4 linked regions of the Astyanax mexicanus genome follow. The protein of the gene in region 3 purifies or fractionates together with the protein of the main gene of each other region. This does not show direct contact. Links are inferred from orthologs where the notes say so. Each region holds a gene or a part of one and is shown on either strand. Other genes may lie near its edges. The genes, in order: atg2b, gcfc2, hdac11 and paxbp1.

Region 1 (7,782 bases), on a different chromosome or scaffold from region 3:
ATTTGGTTTCGTGAGGATTTGCAGAGATGCTGAGTGTCAGTCAGTTGACCGGTCTTATGCAGACAAAACAGCACATTATCATCTGCCTCAAAAGCTGTATGCAATACGAAACTGTTACAAATGCAGGTTGAATTTCAACAAGCTCATAAAAACACAAGGAAAATCCTTTCATGTTTATGCATTTACACCAAATGTCATGTTCGTTTTTCTCCCCCTTATATAAAGCTCAAACTTTAAAGAAAAGAAAATATGGAATGTAACCATGTGTATGTTTCAGTAGCCCTTGTGAACATCACAGTTAATGGCTACTCTCTTCCCTTAAGTGTGACTCTGTGCAACATACAGAACACATAGTTCAGCGCAAAGGTCTGTGTGCAGGTTAAAAGCCTGTCTCCATAAAAGATTGTTCTACAAAGGGAATACAGAAGAAACTGAGTCTAATTTGTAATGGTTGAAAGAAAATCTACAAATATATCAAAACGCCAATCAAAAGTATATTATATAAAAGTGGTGAAATAATAGACATGTCATTGTACTGCCATACTCAGTAAAATTCAAACAAACATTTCCAACATCTCCTGCTTTAGTTCCAGAGAACTGTGATTCTTAACATTGCTTTGTTTAAAAGTATATTTGATAAACATGGACAAAGGTAAATCAAATAGCTTGAACCAACATGAATTTCTCATGGTATGAAATGCAGCTGAATGGAGAAATGGATGTACAAGCTGAATCTTTCTAAATAAAAGTTTGATCAAAATACATTTCCAGACAGCTGCTAGTCTGAAGGCCAGTTTAACAGATAATTCTAAATAATCACATTAAAGAACCCAAGGAATCTCTTTGTTAGTAAAATCATGCTTAGGTCCAATTTAGTCAAAAATAATTGAACAACCAGCAGTAACATACTTTGGCCCATCTATTTAGTAGACATAATATTAGCTGATCAGGTGATATTGAATAATGTTTAATACTTGAAATAACTGCAGACCAGGGTTTCTGGCCAATCATGTCAGTCTTGATCTAGACCCTAGTCTTGATATCTTACACCACATCCCCTAAAACATAATAAAAGCATCATCAAAGTAAATGTACAGCTAATACGTATATGACCATCATGTGTTAAAACACAGAAGTAAAATCAGGCAATAAGGTCTCACTGATAGGAAAGGATACCACTGATGCTTTAAGCTAACTGTTGTACGGAACTGCAGCATGTAACCATTAGCTAGCACAGATACTCTTAAGCCAAACTCCAGGTTTGGTGCTGAATTCGTCACTGTCCGTTCTGTTGGAGCCTTTCCAGTCGATGAAGCAGAGCGTTTCCAAAGGCTTCTCTGTAGCCAGGGCTGAGGGAGTCCAGAAGAGAGTAAACAGTCTCATGATACTGGTTGCTCAGATCCTCATCCACCTGATCAAAGGAGTAGCCCACCACCTAGAAAACAAAAAAAGAGAGGGATTGTACAACAAATAAGTTGAGTGAAAACACAGTGCAGAGCAGGTAACTTACACTATATGTAGAAATATACAGTATGTGGACACTCCCTTATAAATGAGCAGTTAGCTTCAGTTTCTTTGGACACTAATAATACACTATATTGCCAAAAGTATGCACACGCCTCCTGAATTTTTTTGTTTGGTTGTTGGTGAGTGAGGCTTGGATAGGCATGGAAACCAATTCAATGAAACTCTCTATGCTCTACTGTTCTTGAGAAAAACTAAGGCCTACATCAAGCACTATGAGCCCTAGCATTTTGGTTTCATTACCAGTCGCTTCCACTTTGTTTTAATACCTAGTGGGATGATTGTCAGTTAGGAAGATGGGGAGCTGAAAAGGAGTGGTGATCATCTAGCTTACATCCTGACTTCACAGTAATGTTCCAAAATCTAGTGGAAAATCCCTAGATATGAAAGACAAACTCTTTTCCACTCACCCTTAACCCCGCCTCGGTGAGCTCAAGGCAGTAGCGGTTTCCTTCTCTGGTCTCCACGTTTATGTAAGCCACGTCCAGACCGTTGGACAGAGTTTGAGACACATGCATGTCCGTCACAGCGAAGAGCACGTCGTTTACCACAGCTTCAGCCTCCAGCCTCATGTCTTTAACTCCCCCGAGATCAGCACAGCGCTCTTCGTACGAGGACCTCGACAGTTCCTCTGGCTGACAGTCCACTTCCATCCCCTACGCAAGAACAACAAGGCTGAGCAGTTAACTAGCCTGCTAGGTAGCTAATCTGGCCAGCTGAGTGTTTACTCGATTAGGTGGTGGGTGGTGGAAGCAGGGGCAGGTTGATGAGACAAAACTGACGTAATGCAGTTTACTGTTTGGCTAACGTATGCTAAGCTAACCTAGTTAACTAACTGACACCAGCAGCTAAGTCTACTAAGGTCATACTAGAATTATAGCTAGTTAGCTAGCTAACATTAACAGTGACCCACAAACTAGGTAGTTATGTTTCCATGACGACAGAAAAGGTTAATATTAGCCAGGTTAGCTACTAGCTCTGTTTCGCAGTGTTTCTAATGCGCTCGTTAGCCTCATGCTAGCTAGCTGCGTCATTTAAGACAAGAGCGCTCTAAGACAAGATTGCGAGCTAACACCTAACTAACTACTGCTATTACAACACGGCTAACATTATTTTAAAGGGGGAACTCTTATTAAAACAGAATGTATCAAATTTAAAGGATTTAAAGCCTTTTCTAGGCATTTGTTATTAATTTGGTCAGCTACTCACCTCCTCCGGGGGTAGTTCAGCGGTACACTTCCGGCTCATGCCGGCAAAAATGGGTGTGTTCATCTTCAGCCAGCCTCATTCTGCGCTGTGTGTGAGTGAGTGAGTGAGTGAGTGAGTGAGTGAGTGTGTGTGTGTGTGTGTGTGTGTGTGTGTGTGTGTGTGTGTGTGTGTGTGTGTGTGTGTGTGTGTGTGGCAAGCACAAATTCGTTATTGCAATATTATGCAATTTTGAGTAACCGAGTAGTCATTAAACATTGACATTCATACTCTCAGTTAATTAACATGCGTTATCAATAAATTGTATTGTTTATATATAACCTAATGTCATGTGTAATTTTGAACAGCCATTTTAAATTCAAAATTAATCTAAATTAAATGTAATGTAATAGATACCTCAAATTTCCAAAAGCACAAATTTTCCAAAAGCACAAAAGCCCGCTTTAAAACCTTAAATGTCACTTCATTTAGCAACAATTTGGTCCTGAAACACATAATTGTGTTATTTGTGATGATGTTGAAAAAAACTGAGCACTTATTTTTTTACTGCCAAAATGTGGCCCACCTAACCCAAGCATTGCACAGCATGCTCAGCAGAGTGAGATTTTCCTAAATCATCAGGGTTAGGCAGTATGCAATCAGGAATGCCACAGCCTGTTACACAATCCAAGACACACCCTCTCTCTCACTCTCATGAAAAAGAAAACACTCATTGAACAGAGCCTTCATATGCCTTATTGCCAAGCTCACCTGTATGAGCTGAGTACATTTCAGACTTCTTCACCATCCTAAAATATCCTGTGGTAAAATCACATACACCCTCAGTTGATCAGATCATTTGAATCTACCCCCTTAGGATAATGACCTATGTCAAGAGATGTGACATCTGGTGAAGAAGAAATCTGGTGTGAAATGGACTTGGTAAAACATGATAACAAGTACAAACACTTGTTGAATAGCCCACCTTCGTTCGCCCCGAACCTTCTGAAATATAATGCTTTTTAGCTGATGCTTTCATCAGGCTTACAATGGTAGCAATAGGGCCATAGCGTTGCCCATGGAAATAAATCACTATTTCATAACCTACCAGTCACTAAGTTCCCAGTACATCGTTTTAAATGTTGGGGCACTCAGAATGGTTATAAATTTCAGGGCTGCATTCAGGGCTGTCATTTCAGAATGCTAGGGGTGAACGGAGATGGGCTTTTCGACAAAAGTTTGTAGTCATTATCATGTTTCACTTCACCATTTTACACTGGATTTCTCCTTTTGCCTAGGTCAAAATAAAATGTGATGCTATCAGCAGCCAGAGTCTAAGTGAGCACAATTGACTACTATGATCAGTAAATTGTTGGTTCAAATCCTGGTTATGCTGCTTGTCATCAGCAGCCAGAGTCCGAGCAAGCAGAGTTGGCTAGTAGACAGTGCCTCTTATCTGCCTCCCTATCTCCCATATCACTCCTGAGGTAATTTTGCAGCACAAGGCATCTGTGAGCTGATGTATTGGAACCAAGTTGCTTTTCCCTGAGTGTGCTGGCTAGATGGTAACCTCAGCAGCAGCTGACTTCATTGCTAGCGATAGGTGAAAAGCAGATGATACAAATGAAAAAAAAAGTAAAAAATCTAAAAATGAAATAAAATGTGACTCCATGTTTTAGGGCTCATCCACAGTGGGCAAATGATGAGATTTTTTAGCTATAGTAAAAAGTTTACTTTTTATTAATAAAAACTATAGGCTATAAATATTGTATAGTTGTTTAGTCTTATTATTGTCTTTTGTATGCTTGACAATTTTTGACTGTTAAAATCTTCAAACTTTTTCTGTCTTTTTAATCAGTATTTAAAAAATGTTGAATTAGGTTCGTTTCTGGTTGGTTCTGCTGCTTGACTGTATTATAAACTATATTCTTATAGCATTGCTAATTTCAAATAGCCATAACGACTGTCGTATGTTAATTTTAGTTCATATTTTTCGACAGTCTGCGCCTGGCCAGCGCAGATTTGATCATCCTGAACACTCCCTGTGCCTGTGTAAGTGTGTGAGAGCGTGTGTGTGTGTGTGTGTGAGAGAGCAGCAGGGCAGCTGAGCTGAAGAGTGCGCAGTCATGAAAGTGTTTGTAAACACCTTCAGCTACATCCAGCAGGAAGGTGAGTGATGCTGCTCTGGGCTCTTACTGACGGTGTTTTAATGCTGTTTTAACTCATTTCTTCAGACCTTTTGGCCGGGAGCCTCTGTCTCACCACGCAGAGCTCCTTAACTTTAGCTGAGCTTCCCCTGAAGGCTTTATACTGTAGCTATATAACCGAGGCTAGCTAGCTGGGAAGCTAAAGCTGTTAGCTAGCCGGTTAGCTAGCTGAAAGAGCTCTAGTAAATGAGCGCGTTTAGCGTCGGGTTGTATTGCTCGTTAACGTGTGTATGAGCAGACGCGCTTTCCTGGAATTGACACCAAGTTAAACTATGAATTTTACCTGCTTAAATAATAAAGGCTCAGTTTAGCAGATTAGCAGGACAGCTGTCTGTCTTGTTAGTTACGCAAACCCCGCTCAGTCCTGGCAGGGTGGTTGTCAGTCTGTCTGTCAGAGAGCAGAGTCTGTTAATGTGAGGTAACTAGCTATCTATCTTAATGTTGTTGGTTGGCTCACACAGTTTTAGCTAAGTAACATTAACACATACGGTTCACACACTATAAACACATGCTTTTTATCCTTTAGCCAAATTACAAAGAACCTATGGATCTTTGTTTTACTGGCTATCTTATGCTGTCCATACACTAGACGAGTTTGAAAAGACTCTAAAAAATAGACTTTTAACAGACTAACGTCTGACACCCTCTCACAACTGAGACAAGTCACAGACTAAGATTGTGCAAAGACTATTTGCAAGACTTCAACTAGATTCTTTCTGAGATTATTTCTCATCATGCTTCTGGTGGAGTTTACATACAATACATATTACATATTAAATTACAAATAATTAAATTTGAATTAAATTAATCAATACTGTGATTTATCACAGACTCACAACCCATCAACAGTTTATTGTTCTCCCACAATGTTAGTTCTTTTTTATTTTTCTAGTAGAATACATTTTGTGTTCAATTCTACCTTTAAGCTTCTCTACCCCTTTTTGTTGTTATACCTTGTATAGCAAAGAATCACAGTTTCACTGCTGTACATTTATCTTTGTTTTAGATAGAAATAATGCAATAACGAACATAATTCTTGCAAAATGTGTTTATTAAACTTGTTTGTATATGTTTAATATATTGTACATATTAAAGGTAGAACCATATAAGGCATATTAACTGCAAAATGTGTTCTTTTTCAAATCATTTGTAAATAGTGCGGCTTCCCGTAGCTCTCCTATTGATTGTTGACATTGTTCATGTCACTATTTGAACGATAATATTGAACACAGTTAATTTTATCTGAACGCCAGGATGAGAAAAAGACTGACTAAAACTTCCAGTCCTAACCACCTTACACTGAATGATCGAGATGATGCCACCACAACTCGACTGCAAATCGACTCTAGCAAGACTCTCGTGATTTTATCCCGACTCTGAAAATTTGTCTGCTTAAAGGTCATTAGTTGTAAGGTCGGCATAAGGCACTGTTTCCCCAACACTTGTGCTGGATGACTTCCTTCATTTTAAACATTTTAGTGTTTACTCTGGTCCCCGCACATCTGATCCAGCAAATCAGCTAGCTACCTAAATAACAAATAATTTTTGTTTTAAGGAAGCTGGTGTGTTACTGTAGGAAACCACTACAATGAACTACCTGGCAGGGGATCCTCATGGTATGGATTGTGTTGGGAACCCCTGATCTAACTTGCAATAAGATGACACAATTTCAGTTTATGTTTCCAAGCCATTGTTTCAGTTCCCTTCAGTTCAGTTGACAATCCACTGTAAACCAGATAGTAACAGCCAAAGCAGTTTATCATTTAATGTTGGGGCAAACACAGTCTCTTCCAGAAGTACTGCAATGGCAAGCCAAGTTCTTTAGGTGCTACTGTATACTAAAGACCAAATGCTGGCCAATCAGACTTTTAGGTATTAATTTCTGATGTTTACATGTAGACATTTCAATTACAATTGCACTCTTGTTTGAGCCCACATGTGTTTCTTATTAGCCAGGTGTTCATTGGAGGCAGCTCTTGGTTTAAGTGCTAACTGGTGCTTACCAGTGAAGACCACATTTGTTCTTAAGCCATCAGAAAAGCTAAGGGGCTGTCTTTAGAAGAAAGTGATTATATAACATTTGGGATTGGTCTTAAAAATAAACTGTTAGTTATATAGTAACCGATATCAAGCAGGTAGGCTAAGAAAATCCACAGCAAATCATGACCAACACAATGTGAGAGAAGTGAAGAAAAAAAGTCAGTCTGTTAGTGGCATCACTTACAACCTTTACAGCGTTTAGGTGTGTAAAATAAAAATAAAATATTTTTTTTTTTTGAAATATAAACATTATTCCAAGAGATGATCAGTGTGCCACTCATCAGCCGTTAGAACCAGAATACCATATTAGAATATTTAAAATACAGAGTTAAGCCACAAAACTCCTGTAAAGGACTGGTGAGACTGAGGTTAAATTCTCCCAAAGTGATGGAAAGTTCAGAGTGAAAAAGGAATACTAAGGAAATGTTAAAGAAATAACCACAATTCAAACATTCAGTCTTACCTGCCAAGCACAGTGGAGGTAGTGTCATGGTTTTGGCCTGTATAGCTGCTTCTAAAACAGGTTTACTTAATGTTCATTAATGATTTAACTCATGACTGATTTAAGGCAGTTAGTCAGTTTACAGAGAACTGGTAGCAAATGTCACACGACTCCACAGGCCCGGGGTTGTTGGTTCAGTCCTTGCTTCGGCCCGTGTCTGTGAGGAGTTTGGTGTATTCTCATGCCCGTGATGGTTGTACGTAGTACCTTGCAATAAACTGTTCCTCTGTCCAAGAGCTAAGCCTGCGTTTTGCCAAATAATTCCACTAAAGTTCTAGACACATCCCAAACTTGATCAGAAAACTTTTTTTTTAAACTGCAGCA
Region 2 (8,003 bases), on a different chromosome or scaffold from region 3:
ACAGTACATTTTGTAAATTACATTATTCTCTGCTGCCGTGAACATTTAGAGTATTTTTCTTGTGTTTCGTTCAGTATTTATTTCGTTTGTTGGTGTATTTAATCATTTATTTATTTATTTCCATCCAAGTAGTTTGCATTATGCAGCAATTCTAATGTTAGGTCAGTGTGCCAGGGTCTGTGAGTGAGACTTTGTGTCTCATTCAGCACCAGAAGGAAAGGAGGAGACACTGCTAATTTTATCTTGGGCAACTGCAGGAGTCTTTGTGTGTGTTGATATGACTCATGCTTCTTACTGGAAGTGTTAAACAGGTCATGATCTTTCTGTCTCTGTGAGGTTTTTATACACGTGGCTGGGGACACTACCACTTATTTGTCAGACAATTGTAGACAATTGACCTTTCTTTCTTTCTTTTTCTTTTTTGCCTCCTTTTTTTTTTGCTCCCCAGCCACCATAGAGAATTCTCAGGATGCATACCAAAAGGCGTTCGATATCAGCAAGACAGAGATGCAGCCAACACACCCCATTCGCCTGGGGCTGGCCCTGAACTTCTCCGTCTTCTTCTACGAGATCCTGAACTCTCCAGAGAAGGCCTGCTCCCTTGCTAAGCAGGTATGTTATACCTCACTCTGCCATGAGTGAGAATTTTTCTCTATTTGCCAGTTTTTTGTTTTTTTTAAGCAGTGCTGTAAATGGCCGTGGTTTGCTTGCAGGCGTTTGATGAAGCCATTGCTGAGCTCGATACACTGAACGAAGAGTCTTACAAAGACAGCACCCTCATCATGCAGCTGCTAAGAGACAATCTCACAGTGAGTAACTCTCTTTGTGTCCTTTTTTCTGGGTTTATGAAAGTACTGAATGTCTAGGACTCAGAATTGGCCAGTTGTAGAAGGATTTTAAATGCTGGTTTCTGTCCCTGGGCTTGATATATTGAGTATTGACTGTCTAAAGCTAATAAGTTGTTTCTTTGGGTCCTAACAAGCAAACAGCAGCACAGTTTGACAAGACCATACTACAGCTTACAGATAACTGTGAAATATCATGTGTGCTTCACTTCTGAATACTGAAGGCTGCGTTCACATTACCAAGCTGAAGTGACTCAAATCAGTTTTTTTTTTTTCTTCAAATCAGATTTGAGTCACCTTCATATGTGCTCCTAAATCAGATACGTATCCGATCCACAGACATGCAACATGAATAAGAACAGTCAAATCTAAACTTGTGCATCTTTTTGCTTTTACACATTAGCAGTAGCATTAGTGCTATGTGCTTCTCTTCTCTCGTACCCACACTGTATCTCTTGGTGCAGCTGTGCAGCTATAGCTGCAAAAAAAACAGCAAAAGCAAACCGCCTGCTCTTTTTTTTTTTTAGTTTAAACTCGTGGAGCTGAGCATGAACTTCAGAGCAGCTGTTTACTGTTTCTACACTCCAGTAAAAGATGCTCCACATATGAGCTGCTAACTCATCCATTTCCCTTTATAAAGCTACGAGTCTCTCCTCTCTCTAATATGAGTTTTTTTTTGTTGTTGGTGAAGAAGGAGGCGTTTATACAGGTATCAATGTGCAGCATGTGAGACGGTGTTTCAGGAACAGATTCTGCGTTCACATTACACACAGATACAGAACACTTACATTTACACTGAATGTGAACCGACAAGATAGACAAAGATCCAAATCTGATCTGAGTAAAAAATCAGATTTGAGCAACGTGGAGAACGTAAAGAGAACGTAGCCTATATAGCAGCAAATGACACTGGACAAGGAATTTTTGAAAGGAACTTTGTGTGTCAATTGTGTGGGAGTTTTAATGATTTAAAATCAGTAAAAGGTGTAAACAAGGTCTAAGAGCCTCAGCTCTGCTTGTTGTTTGACGCTTTCTCTCTTCTTTATTTCCATCTTTTCCCAGTTATGGACATCGGACAACGCAGCGGATGAGGGAGAGGGCGGCGACGGAGGAGAAAACTAAGGAGGAAAACTGATGAGGAGGAAAAGAAAACCTTTTTACACATCTCCATTCCTTATTACTCTACCTTAATTCTTCTAGTAAAGGAAAAAATATTGTCATTCGAGAGCTGTTTATGAAAACACACACACACACACACACACACACACAAAAAAAAAATCCAATCATTGAGTCTTTTCACAGTGCAGCTTTTGGATGAGGAGAGAGAGAGATATTAATGATTAATTGGGGCGAGAGACCTTCCATTCCTTGGTTTGTGTTTGTCCTGGTCTTCTGTTGCGTGCCGTCTCTGCTGTAGAAAAGTATGACTAGCTTTGTTTTATACCAGCGTCTTAAAAAAAATGAGTTAAATAAAAAAGACAACAAAGATTAAAGACTAAAGACATGCATTTCATTAGATTTGTGTTTTTTTTCTCTTCTCAGTTGGTATGTTTAAGACTTGTTGCAGGGATATTTAAAACTTTAGATAACGGTTCTCTCACACGCGTATATTGTTCTTATATATCACCGTATATGTATATATATATATATATCTATATATATATATATCATGGTTGTCAACTGCTCAAGTCAGTTATGTGCTATGGGTAATGCCACTGAAATAAATCCATGATGATTCTCACTTCTTACTTCTAATGATAAAAAAATAAAAAAGAACTCACAAGACTGCCACGTAAAGAAAACTGAAGATACCAATTTAATCCAGTGCGATTTTTACTTTAGGAGAGCGATGTGTGTGTAGTTTGTGGATGCCATCATATGATGCGTTTGCTTAGTGTTTTTGGTAAAATATTTACTCCGCGTTCTTTCTTTCCATAATGCCGTTAACACTTGTGTGGTCGCTTTCGCTTGTCGATTTTCCACGGAGAGGATTTGGAAGCACAGATTTGGTTGTTATGTTGTGAATTGGAGTGAGGTTTAGGACTTTGTTAAAGTAGTAGGAGTGTTGAGGATCTGTAGAACAGTTGTTTGTAGTGACACTGTTGTTACCAATGACACTCCTGATTAGTTTATCACAAACTGGCGGCACCCGAGCCCTCGGTGTATGCGTGTATGGGAGTAAGGGTATTTGGGTGTATGTATTCAGCAGGGCATAATTCCGCACAACATTTAGATTAGAACCCTCTTTCCTAGTTTGAACTTGCTTATTTAGTGTACGTGAGCATGTGTGACCTGTGACATATGTGACCTATATTAGTATATCTCTGCAGCGTTTCACTACTGAACATGGCCAAATCAACTGACGTCTCACTGTTTGGTGATTTTTCCTTTTCCTTTATTTTCCTTTATTTTTGTTTGTTGCTTTTGATGGCTGCTTTAAAAGCTCAAAGCTCACATCCCACTGTGGTTATGATGATGTGCATTTCACCTAAAGCATGAATCGGAACGGGAGTGGAACGGCAGTTCGGCACTTAAGAGAATTAGAGCTAAATAAACGATGGAAGCTGAATTGGGTATCGATCCATGCATGTCTTTGTTTATTAAGTACAAGATGGAATGGGAATTGGCACACGTGCCAAGATCAGGGTCCAGTTTAGAACTTTTCATTGCAGATTTGTGCACGTGTGAGGGTGCGTTGTTGTCCAGTGAGTGTTTGGAATAGATTTGGACCACTTATTCTGTTTTGCTAATCCTCAATTGTAGTCTCCAAAAGCCTTGTGGACATGTTTTACTCCCTGTGTAACACTTATGTAACATTAATAAAATTTTATAAACCAAACTGCTCTGGAGTCTGTGATTTGCCCAAAGTTGGCCAAAGAAATCAGTTTAATCGTTATTCTTTTTAATTTTTTTTATTGCACTCTTCCATAATACTCTTTACAACAACAGACAGGGTAAATTAACAGGTACATTTAAAGAAAATTACATTCAGGATTCAAGAACGTTTTTTCAAACAATTTTTTTTTAACAAGTGAAAAAAGTGTTTAAATGCTTACTTAATCTGAATTTGGATTGGGGGGGGCATGGTTTCTTTTAGTTTTAAGTGTCATTATGTTGTTTGACCACTAGAGGGCGCCCAAATGAATGGGTTATATGGAGCAAAATCAGAATTTATATATGTTTAATAATTTTCATACTGGAAAATTTACAGATTTTCTCAACACAGAACTTTTTTTTTTTTTTTTTTCAGCTTTGCAGGCACAGATTTTATATCTTTTAAACGTGCTCTGGCTGTATCTTCAGCATCAGCTTGCCAAACAATCAGCTCATAGTAGCAAAGAGTGGGTTTTACTGTGTAAAACCCATACTTTAGCAGAATAAAAAATTCTGCATATGGTCATGTTTTTTTTTTTTTTTGTATATTTATTTTTTTTTTATTTTGTTTACTGAAAACATTTTTAAGAAAGGGATTCATATAAAATTTAAAAGCTTCAAAATATCTATGGATATATTGGATTTTTTTTATTTTTTTTTTTTATTTTAAATTAGTAAGTGTGTGTAATTATATAAGTATGAATAAATAAATGTTTGGAATGAGAGTATCTTTTTAGCGAATTTCGTTTTCTGTATATAAAAATGTACCTAAAACTATAGCTAATTTAATTTATATTTATAATTAAATAAAGGGTCATCACAAATATGGTGAATAGTTTACTTTTAATGTAAGAACTAACTTACGGGCTCCCTCTAGCGGTGAAGTCATTTTCTGATATAACCGCGGAGATGTGAAGTTAACAATAGGTTCTCCATAAACCTGGCTTTTAGATAAATATATCAGTTTGGACAAATTTTAAAAAGAGTTTGCTATTAGGGGAAATCCTACATTATAAGCTTGGAGTACTGTGCATTATTGTTTGTGTGAGAGGGAATTATATATTTTTAAATATTAATAAATTATAATATCAAAACCAATATTTTTTCTGACCATATAAATAATAATAACGTGCTATATAGTTTAGAATTTCTCGTGTATCTCGAACACGCTTAATAAAATAAACAAACTAATAAACCGGCTCTGACTCTAGTCTGAGATGAAGAGCTTTTATTTTGAAGTGGGACTTTTTCTGTATGTACCGGAAGTGGAGTATTGGTCGCCCCGGCGCGCTGTGTTCAGGTGTGTGTGTGTGTGTGGTAGAGGTGGGTCAGTAAGATGTTTAAGAAAACGAACCGGAGGAATTTCAGAGCGCGGAGAGCGGAGTCCAGCGAGGAGGAGGAGGCGGAGAAAAGCCCCGCCGCCGCCGCGGAGAGAGAAGCGGAGCCCCCGGCCCCGAGCTCCACACTGATTAACGCGCCCCGCAGAGGGATTTCCTGCAGCTCCAAACCGAGCGCGACCCCTCCCCGCACTGCCCGCTCCGAGAGCCCCGACTGCGTGGAGCCTGAGGACCCCCAGCCGCCCGCCGGTAAACCCCAGACCCCCGGACAAACTCCCGGTCAGACCCTCAGCTTCAGCGGGGAGAGAGACGGTGAGACTCCCTCAGTTAGCGGTGCTGCAGGAACTACACAGACCAACGTTGAATCAACGTTGGATTTGGTGTTGATTTAAAAAAGTAAATTAACGTTGAATTAATGTTGTATTTGGTGTTGATTTTGAAAAGTGAGTCAACAATAAATTATAGTTGACTTTGGTGTTGATTTTGAAAAGTATTAACATTGAATATACGTTAAAAAAGTTTCGAAAATTAATCAACGTTGATGTTTAACAACTGTGTGGAAAATTACAGATGTGTCAAGATAGGACTAAAACTGGCTGAATTAATATTACAGAAGATAGTTGAGCCTGTAAGTTCTGTAATGAGCGTCCAGTGTTAGTTAGTTTTGTAAACTCGAGTGTGTGTGTGTGTGTTTACAGGTGCAGATGAATCTGAATTCAAATTGAAAAGGTCCATCAACAAAGATGTGATTTTCCAAGCTCGCAAAAAGGAACAGTCGCCTGTTAAGTTGACCAAAACACAAGCAGGTAGTATAAGTTCACTGTATAATCTGCTGATAATCACAGGATTTTCTGTAGGCAATTATATTTCTTATTTTTATGCACAGTTTAAATCCTCTCTCTGGTTTTGTTGTTTTTTAGGTGTGAAAGATGTGGATGTTAGTGAGCGCTCTGATAGCACAGCGGGGAGTTCTGCGGAGGACATCCCTCCAGACAGCGAGAGCGACAGTGAAGTTCAGTCTACATCTTCCAGAACTTCCAGCTCTTCTTCAAAACCACAGAAAGGTGCTCATTTCAGTCACGTTTCAGGCACTCTAGGTATTATTGAGTGGTTAAAGGACAATTGAGGCATATATTTTCTGAAGTAACTCATATCATGATCATAATGTATCATCAGATATTAAGGAAAAAATGCTGAGTTTAAGCACTGACAGCTCTTGACAGCAGAGCTTCAGCCAGTATTTTCTTATTAGAACTGTGTGGTAAGTCATGGTAATCTGTGTGGGATGTGGCCTTCAAATCCGCCCACCACTATTCCCCCATTGTAGCATTGGAAATAGAGATGCACGATATTGGTAAAATTTGACATTGTAATATATTTATTTATATATTTTATTATTATTTTTTCTGACAATATGTATATTGCGATATTACCATTGAACTTACATTGAAAGTTTAGAAGTTTTTTTTTTTCTCTCTCCTATCCTAAATAGTTGCTGTTTAAGAGATACTATAACATTTGTGAGAGAACACATCTAAAGCTCTATCCGGACAGGATTAGTATCTCAGGGGGTTCTGGGTAATTTTCTCTTTTATGGGGGTTTTTATCCTCTGTGAAAATAATTCCGTGCAGAACGATCATTTACGTGTTTTTCTCAGACGTCCTCTGAGAAAATTACAGGCTGAATTATCTACTGTTTTTCTCTGAACTCCGTGCTCCTCCGCTAATTTTAGTCCCGTCCGGACGCACATCTCTGAGTTTCATCTCCTCGCAGTTTTAATAAAATAGATATTTGTCCTCTGCCGCACACCGTAATTACACTTTGGGCGCGCGTTTCCACAGAGATCCACGTAAAAAAAAAAACACAGCAAGTGGAAATGGAGGAGCTACTGAACACTGTGATGTCATGTGACAGAGAAATCCTAAAACCTAAAAACTCACTGATCCTCCTGTTTTTTCAATTGCAGTCCGGATGCAGGAGTTTTATCACTAAAGAGTAGAAGTGTGAAATATGTTACACAGACCCCCCCCTGAGAAACTAAACACTAAATTCTCTGACTGTGTGAATATGTGAAAGGGTGTCTCTGGATAATTTTCACATTTTAACATTTTGTCAGGGTAATAATAAATGAAGATGCCTTATATTGTTTTGCTGCAGTTAACATCCCTGACTCTAAGAAGATCCGTGCAGTTAAGGAGCAGAGGAGGAGAGCTCGAGCCCAGCAGGACTACATCCCTCTAGATGAGGATCGGGAAAGCACTCCCAATAGATCAATAGACGGAGAGGGGGACCCGAGCGATGAGCATCGAGACAGTGATGATGAGCCAGATGATTATGAACGCAGAATCGAATTTGCACCCAAATCCAAAACCGTCAGGGAGAGAATGGCTGAGAAAATGGGTGAGATATAAATCAGTTTCTGTGATTTTGCTATTTATAGGTTTATGTTTGAGTAAAGTGAACATTGTTTTATTCTATAAACTACAGACAACATTTCTCCCAAATTCCAAATAAAAATATTCTCATTTAGAGCATTTATTTACAGAAAATGAGAAATGACTGAAATAACAAAAAAAAAGATGCAGAACTTTCAGACCTCAAATAATACAAAGAAAACAAGTTCATATTCATAAAGTTTTAAGAGTTCAGAAATAATCAATATTTGGTGGAATAATCCTGATTGTTTTTTAATCAGAGTTTTTATTTCATGCATCTTGGCATCATGTTCTCCTCCACCAGTCTTACACACTGCTTTTGGATAACTTTATGCTGCTTTACTCCTGGTGTAAAAATTCAAGCAGTTCAGTTTGGTTTTATGGCTTGTGATCATCCATCTTCCAATTTACATTTTTTTAGTATTTGTGTTAAAAATGTTTAGTTTTGTTTCTGTATAGGTGGGAGTTCGAGTGAAGAGAGTGAGTCTGATAGCCAGAAGGAGGAAGACCA
Region 3 (7,710 bases):
CTGTGGGGATTAGCTTTTCTTCAGCAGGGACAGGGACAGACAGCTACTTTGTGGTGGGTTAAAATACTTTTGTGGACATCACATCACATTTTGGGCTGTCTAGACCACCAATTATTTTGCTCTACGAGGGCCTGGTGTCCTCATATGAGGCCATGATACTGTCACCTAGTGGTGGCAGAAGAGTTCAATACGTTACAGTTTTGATTTTTGTAACGTTTAAAAATTTAAATGAACACTTAACACAGTAAATGTTTATGTTTGGTACAACTGTTGTTTCTACTTTTGTTTTGCACCCAGGCAAAAAAAATGCTAAATGAAGATAAAAAATAAATCTTCTGCAAAATCATTACTAATTGTGACTTCATTGTGTTCTATCGAAATATAAAGCTAAAGTCCACATATGTGGACATAATTTTTCTCAGAAACTACTGTAAAAATAAGATAAAATAGATCATTCTTTGTTGTTTTTTTTTTTTACACAAATCAGTTGCCAATTAGCACAAATAGCAAATAAAAAGAGAAATAAAAAAGTGCATAAGCCACTATATTGTCGCTGTTCTATATAAAAAAAAATACTTATGTCCATTTTTGGTCGATTTTTAGTTTACTACATAATTTGAACAGACAAACTGTCCCTCACACTGTGCCAAAATTTCTTTTTGATGAACGGACCAACAGAAATACTTCAAAATGACCTGAAATAAACTCTTTTTGCATTGACTTCCATTGAAAGTATAGAAGGTCTTTTCTCTCTCCTGTAAAGTTGCTGTTTTGGAGATTTGGACAATGACGATATACAGTGTTTTGTCTAGTTTTTTTGTTTATGTCAGCTTAATTTTATTTTTTATCCTTTGCATTGCATTAAGAGCTATTCTAATATAAATATTCACCACGTCAGAAGGTAAGTTGTTGTTATTCAGTACAGAAAATCCACGTATTCCAGCCCAGCGCCGGACGAGCATCCTAAAGGCAGCACTGTGCTGATTAAACAGTACAGATCCTGAATGTCAGGGCATTAATTAAGTTCACCTGGGGACAGGGTCGATTATTCCTGCTGAGAAAGAGAAGGAGAAGACTGTATTTCTACAAATGAAAATCGACAGCGCTGACCTCAATTTATGCTAATGTATTCCATTATACTGAGGAGCTGCCGGGCCGGGCTGCTCTCGCTTCAAAGCAGGACCTGCTGAGAGAATCTGCTTTGTGGGAGCGTGAAGATGCTCCACATTACACCGGTCAGTGTCGGTGAGTTCCTCCTCCTCCAACTCACAGAGTCTTTTATTACAGCATTAATACAGTTAATGATACAGACGGAGGTGGAGTTTATATATATGCACACAACATAATGGGAGACATACCAGAGTTCAAAAGAGGACAAATTGTTGGTGCACGTCTTGCTGGAGCATCTGTGACCAAGACAGCAAGTCTTTGTGATGCATCAAGAGCCACGGTATCCAGGGTAATGTCAGCATACCACCAAGAAGGACCGACCACATCCAACAGGATTAACTGTGGATGCTGTAAGAGGAAGCTGTCTGAAAGGGATGTTCGGGTGCTAACCCGGATTGTATCCAAAAAACATAAAACCACGGCTGATCAAATCACGCAGAATTCAATGTGCACCTCAACTCTCCTGTTTCCACCAGAACTGTCCGTCACCACAATCAGTTATTTCATTGTCCAACCCCTGTAATACCGTATCTACAAATAGAGGTCCATGAATATTTGGACACTGACATAATCTTCATATTTTGAGCTCTGCATGCCATCAAACTGGAAAAAAACTTAAAATGAAACAAATGAGATCAAATTATAAGCATTATAACCATTTTTATTCAAAGCCTCCTCATTTCAGGGGCTTGAACGGAATTGGACGAATGAACTTCACCATAAATAAAATGTTAATTTTTAATACTTTGTTGAGAATCCTTTGCAAGAAAAAGTCTGGAACCCATGAAGATCATCTCCAAAAACCAGGTTTCCACCAGCGTTTCTTCTTTATGATGCTTTTCCAGGGTTTTATTGCAGCATTTTTTGGTTGTTTAGCTGGTTTGTGGGTTTTTTTACCTGAAGTTTTGTCTTAAGCAAGAAATCGAAAACCAATCAACTTTCAGTATTTGGTTGAATCTGAGCAGAAAGTAAATTCCTGTAACTTCAGAATTATTCCTTCTGCTTCTGTCTTCAGTCACATCATCAATAAACACTAGTGACCCAGTGCCAACAGGAGCCATTCACGCCTATGCCATCATACCACCACCACCATGCTTAACAGAGGATTAGGAGGATGTGCTTCATACCGAGCTTGAGGCTTTGTAGAAAAATGGTTATAATTCCTAAATGCTTCATAGGATATCTTTAGTCAACTCTTTAAATTAAACCTAAAAGGTCTAATTATATATATTGTATATATAATGCTCTGGAACAAAATAAGAGAGCACTTAAAAATGACGAGTTTCTTTGATTTTACCGAATTAAAAACCTCTAGAATATAATCAAGAGGAAGATGGATGATCACAAACCATCAAACCACCAAACTGAACTGCTTGAATTTTTGCACCAGGAGTAAAGCAGCATAAAGTTATCCAAAAGCAGTGTGTAAGACTGGTGGAGGAGAACATGATGCCAAGATGCATGAAAAAAAACTGTGATTAAAAACCAACCAGGATTATTCCACCAAATATTGATTATTTCTGAACTCTTAAAACTTTATAAATATCAAACTTATTTTCTTTGCATTCTTTGCATCTTTTTTTGTCATTTCAGCCATTTCTCATTTTCTGCAAATAAACGATTTTAAATGAGAATATTTTTATTTGAAATTTGGGAGAAATGTTGTCTGTAGTTTATAGAATAAAACAATGTTGAACAATGTTCATTTTACTCAAACATAAACCTATAAATAGCACAATCAGAGAAACTGATTCATTTATATATTAAATATATTTATATATTAATATATATTTATGAGCCTCAGAGCTCTGAACTCGTCTTCTCTTTAAGAACTGTTGTGATGAACGTTGTGTTTTCTGATTTGATGGTCAGCAGATGCCTTTCGCTCTCGGGCTACTCACTGACCTGAACACCGGCAGCCAATCAGAGAGCAGATCCAGCCTTACATCATCCCCAAGCCTCTGCAGCGACATCATCATTACGCAAGTGCTACACACACACTGCTATTTATAGCAGCCGCACCGCTGGGGGCAGCCGGCGTGGGACTGGATCACAAAGCACAGCGAAAAGCAAACAACGGGTCACATTCCTCCCGAACCGCTGAGAGACACACTGCTAAAAAACTGGAAAAATACATCCTTTATAAACTAAAATACCATGCTGCATCCTTCTATAACTACAGACTGTAGTTCTGCATCTGTTTCTATACATCCTTTATTATTATTATCCTTCTTCTTCACTCTCTTCTTCAAAGATTAATCTGCTTTTTTATTATTAAATATTTATCTGATCATCAATGATTTTATTACTGCTGTTCTTCTTCTCCTGTCAGATTAACTCTTATTCTAACTCTAATTCTCCTCTCTGCTGAAACTTCCAGAAACTCAGTCCTTAATCATGTTAATCTGAGCTAAAGGCTAAAGCTGCTGTTTCCATGTGGGTCAGCCAGACGTCTCCCTGTAGCAGTTAAAGTGTTAAAAACTAACAACAGAAACCTGGGGTGTTCTAAAACTTTTGACCGATACATGTATATATATATATATATATATGTATGTATGTATATATGTACATATGCATTTGTTAGTGGAAAAAAAAAAGTAAAATCTTACAGCACTTCATGCTTTCCTCTGCTGACAACTTTTATAGAGATGCAGATTTCATTTTCCAGCAGGATTTGGCACACTGCCCACACTGCTTACCAAAAGTACCAATTGGTCTTATAAAATATTTTAATTTTCTGAGACACTGATTTTTGGGTTTTCATTGGCTGTAATCCATAATCAATAATCAACAATAAAATAAATAAATGTTTAAAATAGATCACTGTGTGTTTAATACATCTATATAATAGTTTTGAACTGATTTATTCTATTTTTGAATGCAATACTACTATACACATAAGGATGATGCTATATACAAACAAAATGGAATATAGTTATGCATAGTTTTGACTGGAATATAGTGTTGTGTGTCTGATTTTAATTAATATTATATAATAGATACATAAGAAATAAACACTTAAAATCGATAATTCTGTGTGTAATACATCTATATAATAATTTTGAACTGAATTTCTTTTCAATGATATTCTAATAAGGATGATGCTATATACACAACTGGAATATAGTGCTGGGTGTCTGATTTTAATCTATATAATATATTTATAGGGATCATTTATGACACTTCTTTTCCTAATTTCATGATTTTTTTGGTCTCTTTATCTCTTATTCCATTTGAATTGAGTGAATCTGCTTTGTCTTTTATAATTTGATATTGTACCTTTTACAATTTTAATTATTTTAAATTTAAAAAAAAATGTAATATATACATATATTATTTATAATATTGATTCAAATCAGACACCCAACTCTATATTTCAGTCATGTGTGTCGCTTAAAACAGAGCACAACAGCAGTAAATATGAAATTAAGAGCTATTTTTATATATTTTATAGGATTTTTACTGAATCTGTGCAGATGTGCACAGCTGTGCACTGTCAACGGCGTGTGACGTCATCACGCGGAGTGCGGAAATGGGACGGTAGGAAAAGCAGCTCGAGCGCTTCTGTCAGTCTGTATAAATCAGTTTAATACAGATATATAGAGATATATAGAGAGATATATAGAGATACAGATATATAGATATATAAACCTGTATATGAGATCTGCGGTTCTCCAGCAGCAGCAGCAGCGCTGTAGAATATAAACACCAGCAGGTGAGTTTCTGTATTTACAGCGCTTTTTCTCTAATAATCCGCTTTATCCGCTCAGAGTTATTAAATTAATAACCTCAGTTAATAAATCAGACTGTATTAAACCCGCTCAGACCGCCCGCGATCTTTACATTAACGCGAAATAACCAGAGCACTGTATATTCTCCTAAACACCAAATGTTGCGTCTCTGAAATTGCTGCCGCGCATGCGCAGCAGGGGCCGAGGATTGTGGGAAATGTAGTGTGTAGAGTGAGAGCGTCTGTTAAGGCTCAGGTTCAGTGCACTTTTTATCTATTATTTTAACGACTTAAACTTAAAATATTGCTTATTATTCGATCTTAATATTACCCGGACACCGTATTTTACTTTATTTAATTTAATTATTTAATGTTATTTCTATTTAGTTTTTTTCTTCTTACTTTTATTTGTTCCTACCATTTATTCAACTTAAATTAAGTGAATCTGCTTTGTCTTTTATCTTGTAACTCTTACCAATTTTAATTATTTAATAATTGGTTGTGTTTAAATGCTGGTTTTTGTATATGCATTCTCTATAAATAAAAAATATATATTATTATTATTATTATTATTATTATTATTATTATTAGTAGTAGTAGTAGTAGTATTGTTTTTCTTGTTCATTTGATAATTCTGCATTTATTAACTGAAATTCGAGCCGCTCATGCTCAGGTGTAGCCGAGTATTGTGGAAAATGTAGTTTATGTAACGTTAAACAACAACTAAACAGACGATTATTATTTAGAAATGCACTAAGTTCATATAATTAAACAGGTATTATTATTATTATTTTTTTTTATCTCTTTAGGTCGAATAATGCTGGGGTGCAGAGATCAACATGTCCAGTAAAGAAACTACAGAAGGAAACAAGGGGTGAGTAATAAACTAAAAATGAACTACAAACACCCAGTTTAAAGTGTTAAATTTACTTTAGTTGCAACTGAAAAACAAACCAACAAATTTATCTTAATTTTGTAGTAATGTAAAGTAATGTAAAGTTATGCTGTGTAATTTATTAATATGTACAAAATGTGTATATAGCACCATTATATTTGAGATGTGTGAAGTGATAGTGGGAGTTAGTATTTCTAATTATTTAATTTGTATAATTTGAAACTTTTTTTTGCAGTAAATATAAAAACAAATATGTGAGGTTCATTTTGTAAATAGCACAAACATATGCAAATTATACAAATACAAATATTTATACAAATATATATATATATATATATATATATATATATATATATATATACATTTTATTTTTTATATTTAGATTTATTCATATAAATAAATCTAAATATTAAGAAATTACAGTGATACAATAAAATTTGTAAATCAATACCTAAAACCAAACTAAAATATACATCACATTGTTCCATTTTTCTCTAGTTCACACCGGACGGAGCTGTATGTACAGGTTCCTCCGACATGTCTGCCTATCGTCTACTCTCCGGAGTATAACATCACCTTCATGGGTCTGGAGAAGCTCCATCCCTTTGATGCTGGGAAATGGGGGAAGGTCATTCACTTTCTAAAAGGTAAAACTGCTGTTTTACTTTTTAACTTTTTGACATATTGAGTTTTTTTTAGGGCTTTTTGAGTTTAAAAGGCTCAAATCATCACTGAGTAGAGGTGGGAATCATAGGACATCATCTTACAATATGATATTATCACTATACTATTCTATACAATACTCCTAAATAATTTAATATCAGAAATTAAGGATTTATTTAGACTTTCTTACATTTCTGGAGTTTTGCTTGTTTATCTTGGTAACAGAAAACACAGGAGCTCCACTGACTGAATACAACCTAGACAGACGGCAACAGTCAGACGTTCATCGCTATCTTGGCAATGCAGCCGTGCACAAACCCAACATTTGCATCAACAATAAACAGAATAGTAAATAAAAAAAAATAACATTGCTGTTCTGTAATAAATGAGCTGCTGGAGCTCCTTCACAGCGTCAACCAGCAGCTCAGTTTCCTCTGCTGAGAAGAGTTTGTTGGACACGTCCAGGTAGCTGCACCGTTAAAATAGCAATGCACCAAAGTCAGAGCTCACCTGGTTCTACTCTTAAAGAGAATGATGAGCAACACTGATCATCACATCCATGATCAATTACGAGTATTAGTACTGTGAATGACTGTTGTTTGCTTTTTTTTAGTCGTGCAAGGTGTACTTTTCCCGTTGTTACGATAGCAAAGACACAGTGACACACTGCCCTAAATCAAGCTGTACGGTGCAAAGCAGTTGACGTCTCGCCTATAAAATGATAAAATAGGGATCTCTAGTTCTCAGTGTGTTGAGGAGTCTGATGGACTGAGGGAAGAAGCTGTTGCTGCGTCTGGTAGTAGAGTACTATAGTCTTTGGTGAAACGTTTTTATAACCCTACTGTAACACTCGTGACCCAAAGTTACGGGAGTCCGTGGGGGAGGGGCTGTGTGATTAAGGATGGAGGGAGAGATGAAGGGATGGATGGGAGGTGGAGGAGGGAGGTGGAGATAATGAGGGGAGCAGAAGCCCGGCGGGAGCAGCAGAAGTAGCAGGTAAAAGACGAAGGTCAGAGGAAGAGTGCGGCTCTGGCAGAGCCTCAGATAAAAAAAAACTCAGCAGTTAAAACTCAGATCCTTCTGGCTTTATTTGTTATCTATTTATTACACCATCAGAAAGCCTGTGATCGTTTTGTTTATAGTATTTTTTATTATTTTTTGTTTATTTATTATTATTTAATTTTTATGATTTATTTTAATGTTTTATATTTTCATTCTTGTTCTTTTTTTTAAGTTTTATTATTCATTTAAT
Region 4 (7,856 bases), on a different chromosome or scaffold from region 3:
ATTGGGGTTAAACTGTACAGATGGATGTGCTGCATTTAGCTATTTATTATTGTACTTTTTGGCATTAAATCATTACATCTAAACAGAGACACAAACATACAATGTATAACAAAAAGGCACACAACAATAAAGACTTGTCCTGAAGGACTGATTGTTTTGCATTCTTCTGCACTCAAGGAGATCCCTTAAGCTGCTGAACGGGCTGAAAGAGTGCAAAGATTGGAGGGCTCACCTGTGGGATGCTAATGCCCTTCCTAATTTGCTCCTGCTCCCAGCGACTAACTTCTTCATCATTACCTTCAGTGTCCAGAGCCTCATCATCACTGCCCTCAATACCTGCACAATCACAGGCATCATCAATACATTTCAGCACAGAATCTTCACAACACACTAAATCACACTTCAAATCTATATTTTAACCTGCGTTAGATCTAGTAGACAATACCCCTGTCTACCTTTTTTTTAGAAATTACAGTCAAAAGGTTTATGGTTTTATATCAAAAGGTTTATGGTCATTTCATATTTAGAGTGAATGCAGTATGCAGTAGCTACTAAACAATAATAATTACACATTTGGCCAAAGCGTGATCACTCAATGCCATCAGATGAAAGCTGACAGCTTTTAATGCATCTCCCTCCCACTCAATATTCAAGTATGGCATCTGATCTATTTACATGACAAGAACACATTAAAAACACACCAATTGATATTTCACACTCACCAATCTCCTCTGCTATTTTCTGCCGCTGGCTCTTCTGCTTGACGCCACTGAAAACTATCCTCTTCTCATCTTCGTCATCACTGCCACCCTGCTCATCTTCATGAACCAGGCGTTTATTTGCTACCTCTGCCTCCACCAATGGGGCATCTCCTCCAAGCTCACGAGCCATCTGCCGCCGTTTACGTGCAGCGTGAATGAAGGCTGCATCTGGGATCTCACCTGAAGAAAGAGCAGAAGTTTCACATTAACACTAAAACTAACAAACTGAACATAGAACGTGTTCTGACATTTCTCTTTCTCATAAAAAAACATCAGAAAATCAGACCTGGTCTGAGGGAGCTGAGAGCAGACAGGGTCTCGGAGAAAGCTCCTCCACCACCGGGCTTTGCTTCACTCTCATCTTCTGGTTCATCATTACTGTCCACCTCCATCTCACCTTCACCCTGCTCACTGCTGCCTCTGCTGTCCACTGGCTCATCTTTGACTATTGCTGGACCAGATGCACCTACAACAAACACAACCAAATTACAGACACAGAAAATATATTAGCTACAAATATTAATATACTCAAAACTCAAAAGATTTTTTTTCTATAAATAGATTTGTGCATGATGTGTTTTCCATCTGTGCACGATTTAATTACAAAAACATATGTTAAACAAGATCATACTACATGATTTCTACATGATTTTTCTGTATGACAGAACCAAGACTACGTAACACACCATCAAGACGCGTGGTGACGTCCTGCACCACATGGACTATTTTCTCCTCTCTGTATTCCTTCTTGAGTTGCTTAACAATCTTCTTGCTGTGGTTGGACTTCTTGACTCTGAAAACTTCAGTTTCCTCTGGGAAAAAAAAGAGAATAATACAAAAGTATTATATCGAATACTGGCTTCAGCACAGAATTCCCACATTGGTGCATCGCTATTATTTAAACATGTTATGTTTAAATGACGACTGTTTACACGCGTCATACTGTTTATTTTTTGGAAAGACGCAAATAAACATTATATAGATCTTATAAAATGATAAGATATATAGCTACGGCATTACGGTCATACAGCGTTTGCTTGCTACTTACTTTAACAGTAACGCTGTAACAATTTCCATAACGCATTGAAAAACAATTCAAAACTCAAACTGTTGACACACCCCTCACTTTCCTCAAGGCAGCTTGGATTTGGTAAGCTAGTTCGCTAAAATGTTAAAATGTAGGCATAAATGGTTACTGCTTTTACCTGTAGTATTTAGGTACCTTAGTTAACTAACTGTGATTTTTGAGGGGCTTACTTTATTCTAACCTAGTTAGGATAGCTAGTTAACTAACTGGCTAGCTAACGTACGCAAATACAAATGCATTCAAAAAAACGTTTTAACTATTACTATTTCAGTTACTTCATATCAAATTAGTCAAACTAGAGCTATAACTCCCCAAAATAAAATATTTTAATAGTCTGTTATCGTACATGAACTAACACTAAATAAGCTAATGCTAACTAGCTTAAATAGCTACTAAATGTTAGAGAGGAAACAGAGGCATGGCTGAGTTAACCAATGCGAAATCTCAAATGTTATACAGGAAAGCTCAAGTTACCAAAGTTAGCTTAGCTACTCTTTTTGATTTAGAAAATGACAGAAGCTAGCAGCATGTAGCTAACGTTACATGTGCTCTGTGTTAACGTTAGCTGGCTATAGCCACAGTTAGCTAAGCTAGCTAGCTACCTGGCTTAGCTCAGTTGGACAGCTAGACACAGTTAGCTAACCTAGCTAGCTGTTAAGCTCGCATTGTAGCTTGCTGGCTAACGTGTTAGCTAGCTAACTATCTAGCTACCTTCTTCGTCGTTAAAGCTGAGCAGGCTGGCTTTGGGCTCCTCCTTTCCCTCTTTCTTCCTTTTCTTCTCTCTGGCCGCCTTTAAAGCGCTGGACTGAAAGCCGTTTCCGTGGTTGTTGACCGCGTTGCTGTCGGCGCTGGCTGTGCCAGAGTCGCCCCCCGCTCCGGGCCCGCACGGCGCCGGCGGCTGGTGCTGCTGCTGCTGCTGCTGCTCAGCGCTCTGGGGCTGGAGCTCGTCTTTCTCCTCATCTTCGGAGTCGTTCCTCCGCCTAAAATTGCACCTCCTCGCCTTCTTAAACATCGCGACCCGATCACCAGCGCACCGTACAGGCGCAGGCGAGCTAATGAGGGTTATTTTTTGAGGCGCCAAAACACTGGCTGCAGCTCCGCCGCACTCGCACCATCTTCCCGACGAGTTAGCGCCGCTTTCTCGCCGGCGGCTCCGGGATGACCTGTGGAGAAGCTGGTTCAGTGCTGCCTTCTTCTGGCGGAGAGCTTTCAAACACCCCCACACACACACAATAAAAACGCTATTTTAACCCGATAATGCATGAATTTAAGTCCCTTTGAATTTATCAAATTAAATAACTAAAACTAAATTCCTTTTTTGACTTTTGATAACGAACAGATAATTTGAATCAGACTCAGATTTAGAGCAACGAAGCACCCAAAACACGCAGGAGTGGTCTACCTGCATAACGCTTATATATCAGTTTATATCAATATCAACCCAGCCGAATATACACCTCTTTAGTCTCTGAATCAGTTTATCTGATTTTGCTATTTATAGGTATATGTTTGAGTAAAATTAACATTGTTTTATTCTATAAACTACAGACAACATTTCCCCCCAGATTCCAAATAAAAATATTGTTATTTAGAGCATTTATATGCAGAAAATGAGAAATGGTAGAAATAACGAAAAATATGCAGAGCTTTAATGCAAAATAATGCAAAGAAAATTCATAAAGTTTTTGGGGTTCAGAAATCAATATTTAGTGAAATAACCCTGTTTTTTAATCACAGTTTTCATGCATCTTGGCATGTTCTCCTCCACCAGTCTTACACACTGCTTTTGAATAACATTATGCCACACCTAGTGCAAAAATTCAAGCAGTTCAGCTTGGTTTAATTGCTTGCAATCACCTATCTTTATCTTGATTATATTACAGAGGTTTTCAATTTGGTAAAATCAAAGAAACTCATAATTTTTATGCACATTGTACATATTTTTTATCTATGACCCACTTGTACAACTCATTCTACTGGACATATATATTCCTTGTAATTTTTTTATTAAGAATAAGTAAGCAAATAAATATATTAAAATAGAATACAGTGTGGTTTGTTGGAAAAAAAAAACAAAAAAAAAAACGCTGTAACAATTTCCATAAAGCATTGAAACGCTGAAAAGCGTACCACCAACAACTAAAAAAAGTACCAAATTACGACCTGAAAGTCATCCACAGGAACATATGCAAGCAAACTAGGAGTAAACAATATGGACAAAAAACACAATGTGTAATAACATGTAATGGATAGTCTGATGTCCATGTGAAATTGGACAAAATGACTTGCATTTTAAAGTTTTTATATGACGGTGACAAATATGCCATTTTATCCAGTGAAACAAGTCAAATTCTTAAGACCCAGGGACTTTTTTGTATTTGTTTGCTCAAAAGAGGCTTGGAAACTTTTATTTATTCATTTTTTATGTCTTTGTAAATTGCTATCTGAATAAACTTTGTTTTTAAATGTGAATTTAAGGGCCTTCAAATGTCTTTTCCCTATTTATTTTCTATTTCTCTGCCTTTTAGTTTTCTAAGACCCCAGGACCTCTTGGCACAGAAATAACTATTTGGTTTCAACAAAGTAAAATACCAGGCACAGTAACACATTTTGAACATTTTGATAGGTAAAAGTGCTAAGAATATCTAACTCTAGATCTCTTTCTCTCTCTCTCTCTCTCTCTCTCTCTCTATATATATATATATATATATATATATATATATATATATATATATATATATATATATGTATGTATATGTATATATAGATAGATAGATACAGTGAGTCCAAGAAGTATTTGATCCCTTGCTGATTTTCTTCGTTGGCCCACTAATAAAGACATGATCATTCTATACTTTTAATGGTAGATGTATTCTTACATGGAGAGACAGAATATTAAAAAGAAAATCCAGAAAATAAATCTAAGGAATATATATTAATTGATTTGTATTTCATGTGAAAATAAGTATTTGATCCCTTAGTATTCATTAGCAGTTCTGGCTTTTACAGACCAGTTAGACACTCCCAATCAACTTGTTACCTGACCTGAAGCCACCTGTTCTCACTAATCACTTGTGTGAAAAACACCTGTCCACAGAATCAGACAGATCACACAGATTTCAAGTCTCCAACATGGGTAAAACCAAAGAGCTGTCACAGGACCTCAGAGTCAGAATTGTTGACCTTCACAAAGCTGGAATGGGCTACAAAAAGATTAGTAAGGTGTTGGATGTGAAAGTAACAACTATTGGTGCAATTATCAGAAAGTTTAAAGAGTATAACATGACAATCAACAGACCTCGGCCCGGTGCTCCAAAGAAGATTTCGCCTCGTGGGGTGGCAATGATGCTGAGAACGGTCAGAAATCGTCCTGCAACCACTCGGCAGGAGTTAGCAAATGACCTGAAGGCAGCTGGGACCACAGTTTGCAAGGAAACAATTGGCACCACTTTGCGCAACAATGGATTCACATATTGCAGTGCCCGAAAGGTACCCCTGCTGAAGAGAGCACATGTGGAGGCGCGCCTCAAGTATGCCAATGATCATTTGAAAGATGAACCAAGTTATTGGGAGAAGGTTTTGTGGTCAGACGAGACCAAAATTGAACTTTTTGGCCTCAACTCCACCCGCCATGTGTGGAGGAAGAAAAATGCTGCCTATGACCCCAAGAACACTGTGCCCACCATCAAGCATGGAGGTGGAAGCATAATGTTTTGGGGGTGTTTCTCTGCCAAGGGTACAGGGCTACTTCACCGCATCACTGGGAAGATGGATGGAGCCATGTACCGCACAATCCTGAGGGACAACCTCCTCCCCTCTGCCAGGGATTTGAAAATGGGCCGTGGTTGGGTCTTCCAACATGATAACGACCCTAAACATACAGCAAAGGCAACAAAGGATTGGCTCAAGAAAAATCACATTAAGGTCATAGAGTGGCCCAGCCAGTCGCCAGACCTCAATCCGATCGAAAATCTATGGAGGGAGCTGAAGGTCAGAGTTGCCAAGCGACAGCCCACCAACCTTCATGATTTAGAGAGGATCTGCAAAGAAGAGTGGGCCAAAATTCCCCCTGGTGTGTGTGCTAAACTTGTGGTTAACTACAACAAACGTCTCACCGCTGTGCTTGCAAACAAAGGCTTTGCCACTAAGTATTGAGTGTGTTTGGCAAGAGGGATCAAATACTTATTTTCCTCATTGAAATACAAATTAATTAAAATATATTCTTTAAAATTATATTCTGGATTTTTGTCTTGATATTCTGTCTCTCCATGTTAGAATATATCTACCATTAAAAGTGCAGAAGGATAGTGTCTTTATTAGTGGGCAAACAAAGAAAATCAGCAAGGGATCAAATACTTCTTGGACTCACTGTAGATAGATAGATAGATAGATAGATAGATAGATAGATAGATAGATAGATAGATAGATAGATAGATAGATAGATAGATAGATAGATAGATAGATAGATAGATAGATCAATTATTCTAACAGTGCCCTCTACTGGAGACATAATATACTGGTGCTGCCATATAATACTTTTTCTCAGTCACTTTGATGCATTTCTCATTTCAGAATTAATATTTGCACAACAGTGTGGGCATTTCTCAAAACAAACAGCATCACATAATGGATGAGCAGTTAATGCACTTCACTCAAAATCTTTTTGCTTCATTCCAGTTCCATTATGTAACATTCCAGAATATACAACTTTTATGTACTTTTATAAATTACATTCATTATTATTCTGGACAAGAGACAGTTATGTATATATATTGGATGCTTATTTTTAAAATCACAGCAATTGTGCACAGATCACTTACTGTAATGTATAATGCAATAAAAGTTGCAATGAAAGAGCAATACAACAAAAAAAGCCTGCAATGGGCCTGCATGGACATCAGGTGATTTGAAGGCCTTGGGCAGAACTGGAGCTCCTGTGTTGTGGGGCCTAGCACGTTTGTGGTGGATTTCCCCTCTGCTCTATCAGCATTGTTTCTCTTAGTGGCACAGGACCATTCACAAAAATCACCCAGCACTGGGTGATGGGCTTAGTGAGAAAGGCTTGATAGTGACACGATAGATAGATAGATAGATAGATAGATAGATAGATAGATAGATAGATAGATAGATAGATAGATAGATAGATAGATAGATAGATAGATAGATTTTTTTTATAATTTAATATAATGTATTGCCAGGCAGGTGTGAGCATCTGTAGCGCCAATTAACAAAAGCTCCACTCTCACAGCGGCCTGCTGCCAGCGGGGAGTGGCTAAACACACACACGCACGCACGCACGCACACACACGCACACACACACACACGCACACACACAGTCTGCACCGTTACAGAGAGAGAATGGATGTCTGTGGGAGCTGCTGCTGGATTTTGGGTCTGCTGGGTCTGTGCTCGGTTATCGGGCAGAGTTCAGGAATCACCCGAACTTTCTACATCGCCGCCCGGGAGGAGGAGTGGGATTACTGCCCGGGGGGAGTGAACCGGGTCAGCGGCAGCCCTGCAGCATCGGACCAGTGAGTTCCACCCCCAACCCCTTTAACACTCCAAATACTGAGAATAACATACTGCAGTTCAGCAAAAATACCTCAGAAAAATTAAACACAGACATGACAAGAGTTTTACCACTCAGTTCTGTTCTTATAAAGTCCTGTAGACAATTTACAGTCAGGCAATTCCTTTAAATTACATAAACATAGTCTAGTAATTATAAAATTGAATGTCATATAAAGGAATAAAATCGTTACATTTGTAAGATTTTCATACTAATAAGATTTTTTTTTACATTATATCACATTATAACAAAATATTGTCTAGTAGTACAGACATACTTTATTATTATTGCCTATTTTTTATGCCTAAAAATATCTAAAAAAAATAAATAAATAAATAAATAGGCATACTAATAAACCATCCATACACTGGAAGTCAGCCTGTGTGAGTGTGAAAATTTAACCTTGCTAAATAAAAAAGAAAAAAAGAACTGAAGACAG

The links.
Region 1: the proteins of hdac11 (region 3) and atg2b purify together in Homo sapiens (co-immunoprecipitation; 3 studies listed by BioGRID and IntAct, counting the BioPlex papers as one, with this or other methods). This does not show direct contact. The link is inferred for Astyanax mexicanus from reciprocal best matches to the Homo sapiens genes HDAC11 and ATG2B.
Region 2: the proteins of hdac11 (region 3) and gcfc2 purify together in Homo sapiens (co-immunoprecipitation; 3 studies listed by BioGRID and IntAct, counting the BioPlex papers as one, with this or other methods). This does not show direct contact. The link is inferred for Astyanax mexicanus from reciprocal best matches to the Homo sapiens genes HDAC11 and GCFC2.
Region 4: the proteins of hdac11 (region 3) and paxbp1 purify together in Homo sapiens (co-immunoprecipitation; 3 studies listed by BioGRID and IntAct, counting the BioPlex papers as one, with this or other methods). This does not show direct contact. The link is inferred for Astyanax mexicanus from reciprocal best matches to the Homo sapiens genes HDAC11 and PAXBP1.

What each region holds. Positions count from the first base shown.
Region 1 is NC_064421.1:22,413,484-22,421,265, reverse strand, and holds the start of atg2b (autophagy-related protein 2 homolog B), read left to right. Parts: upstream 1-4,773; 5' UTR 4,774-4,878; intron 4,879-7,782. Other genes in the region: GSK3-beta interaction protein, read right to left, coding at 1,277-1,435, 1,935-2,180, 2,734-2,796. UniProt on the Homo sapiens protein: Lipid transfer protein required for both autophagosome formation and regulation of lipid droplet morphology and dispersion.
Region 2 is NC_064421.1:47,967,279-47,975,281, reverse strand, and holds the start of gcfc2 (GC-rich sequence DNA-binding factor 2), read left to right. Parts: upstream 1-4,999; 5' UTR 5,000-5,055; coding exon 5,056-5,368; intron 5,369-5,754; coding exon 5,755-5,862; intron 5,863-5,976; coding exon 5,977-6,120; intron 6,121-7,214; coding exon 7,215-7,457; intron 7,458-7,951; coding exon 7,952-8,003. Other genes in the region: ywhaqb (tyrosine 3-monooxygenase/tryptophan 5-monooxygenase activation protein, theta polypeptide b), read left to right, coding at 449-612, 714-809, 1,908-1,967.
Region 3 is NC_064431.1:33,444,693-33,452,402, reverse strand, and holds the start of hdac11 (histone deacetylase 11), read left to right. Parts: upstream 1-4,703; 5' UTR 4,704-4,885; intron 4,886-5,709; 5' UTR 5,710-5,739; coding exon 5,740-5,774; intron 5,775-6,293; coding exon 6,294-6,442; intron 6,443-7,710. UniProt on the Homo sapiens protein: Responsible for the deacetylation of lysine residues on the N-terminal part of the core histones (H2A, H2B, H3 and H4).
Region 4 is NC_064427.1:29,837,983-29,845,838, forward strand, and holds the start of paxbp1 (PAX3- and PAX7-binding protein 1), read right to left. Parts: upstream 3,011-7,856; 5' UTR 2,861-3,010; coding exon 2,560-2,860; intron 1,574-2,559; coding exon 1,448-1,573; intron 1,228-1,447; coding exon 1,048-1,227; intron 942-1,047; coding exon 723-941; intron 337-722; coding exon 233-336; intron 1-232. Other genes in the region: hephl1b (ferroxidase HEPHL1), read left to right, coding at 7,207-7,379. UniProt on the Homo sapiens protein: Adapter protein linking the transcription factors PAX3 and PAX7 to the histone methylation machinery and involved in myogenesis.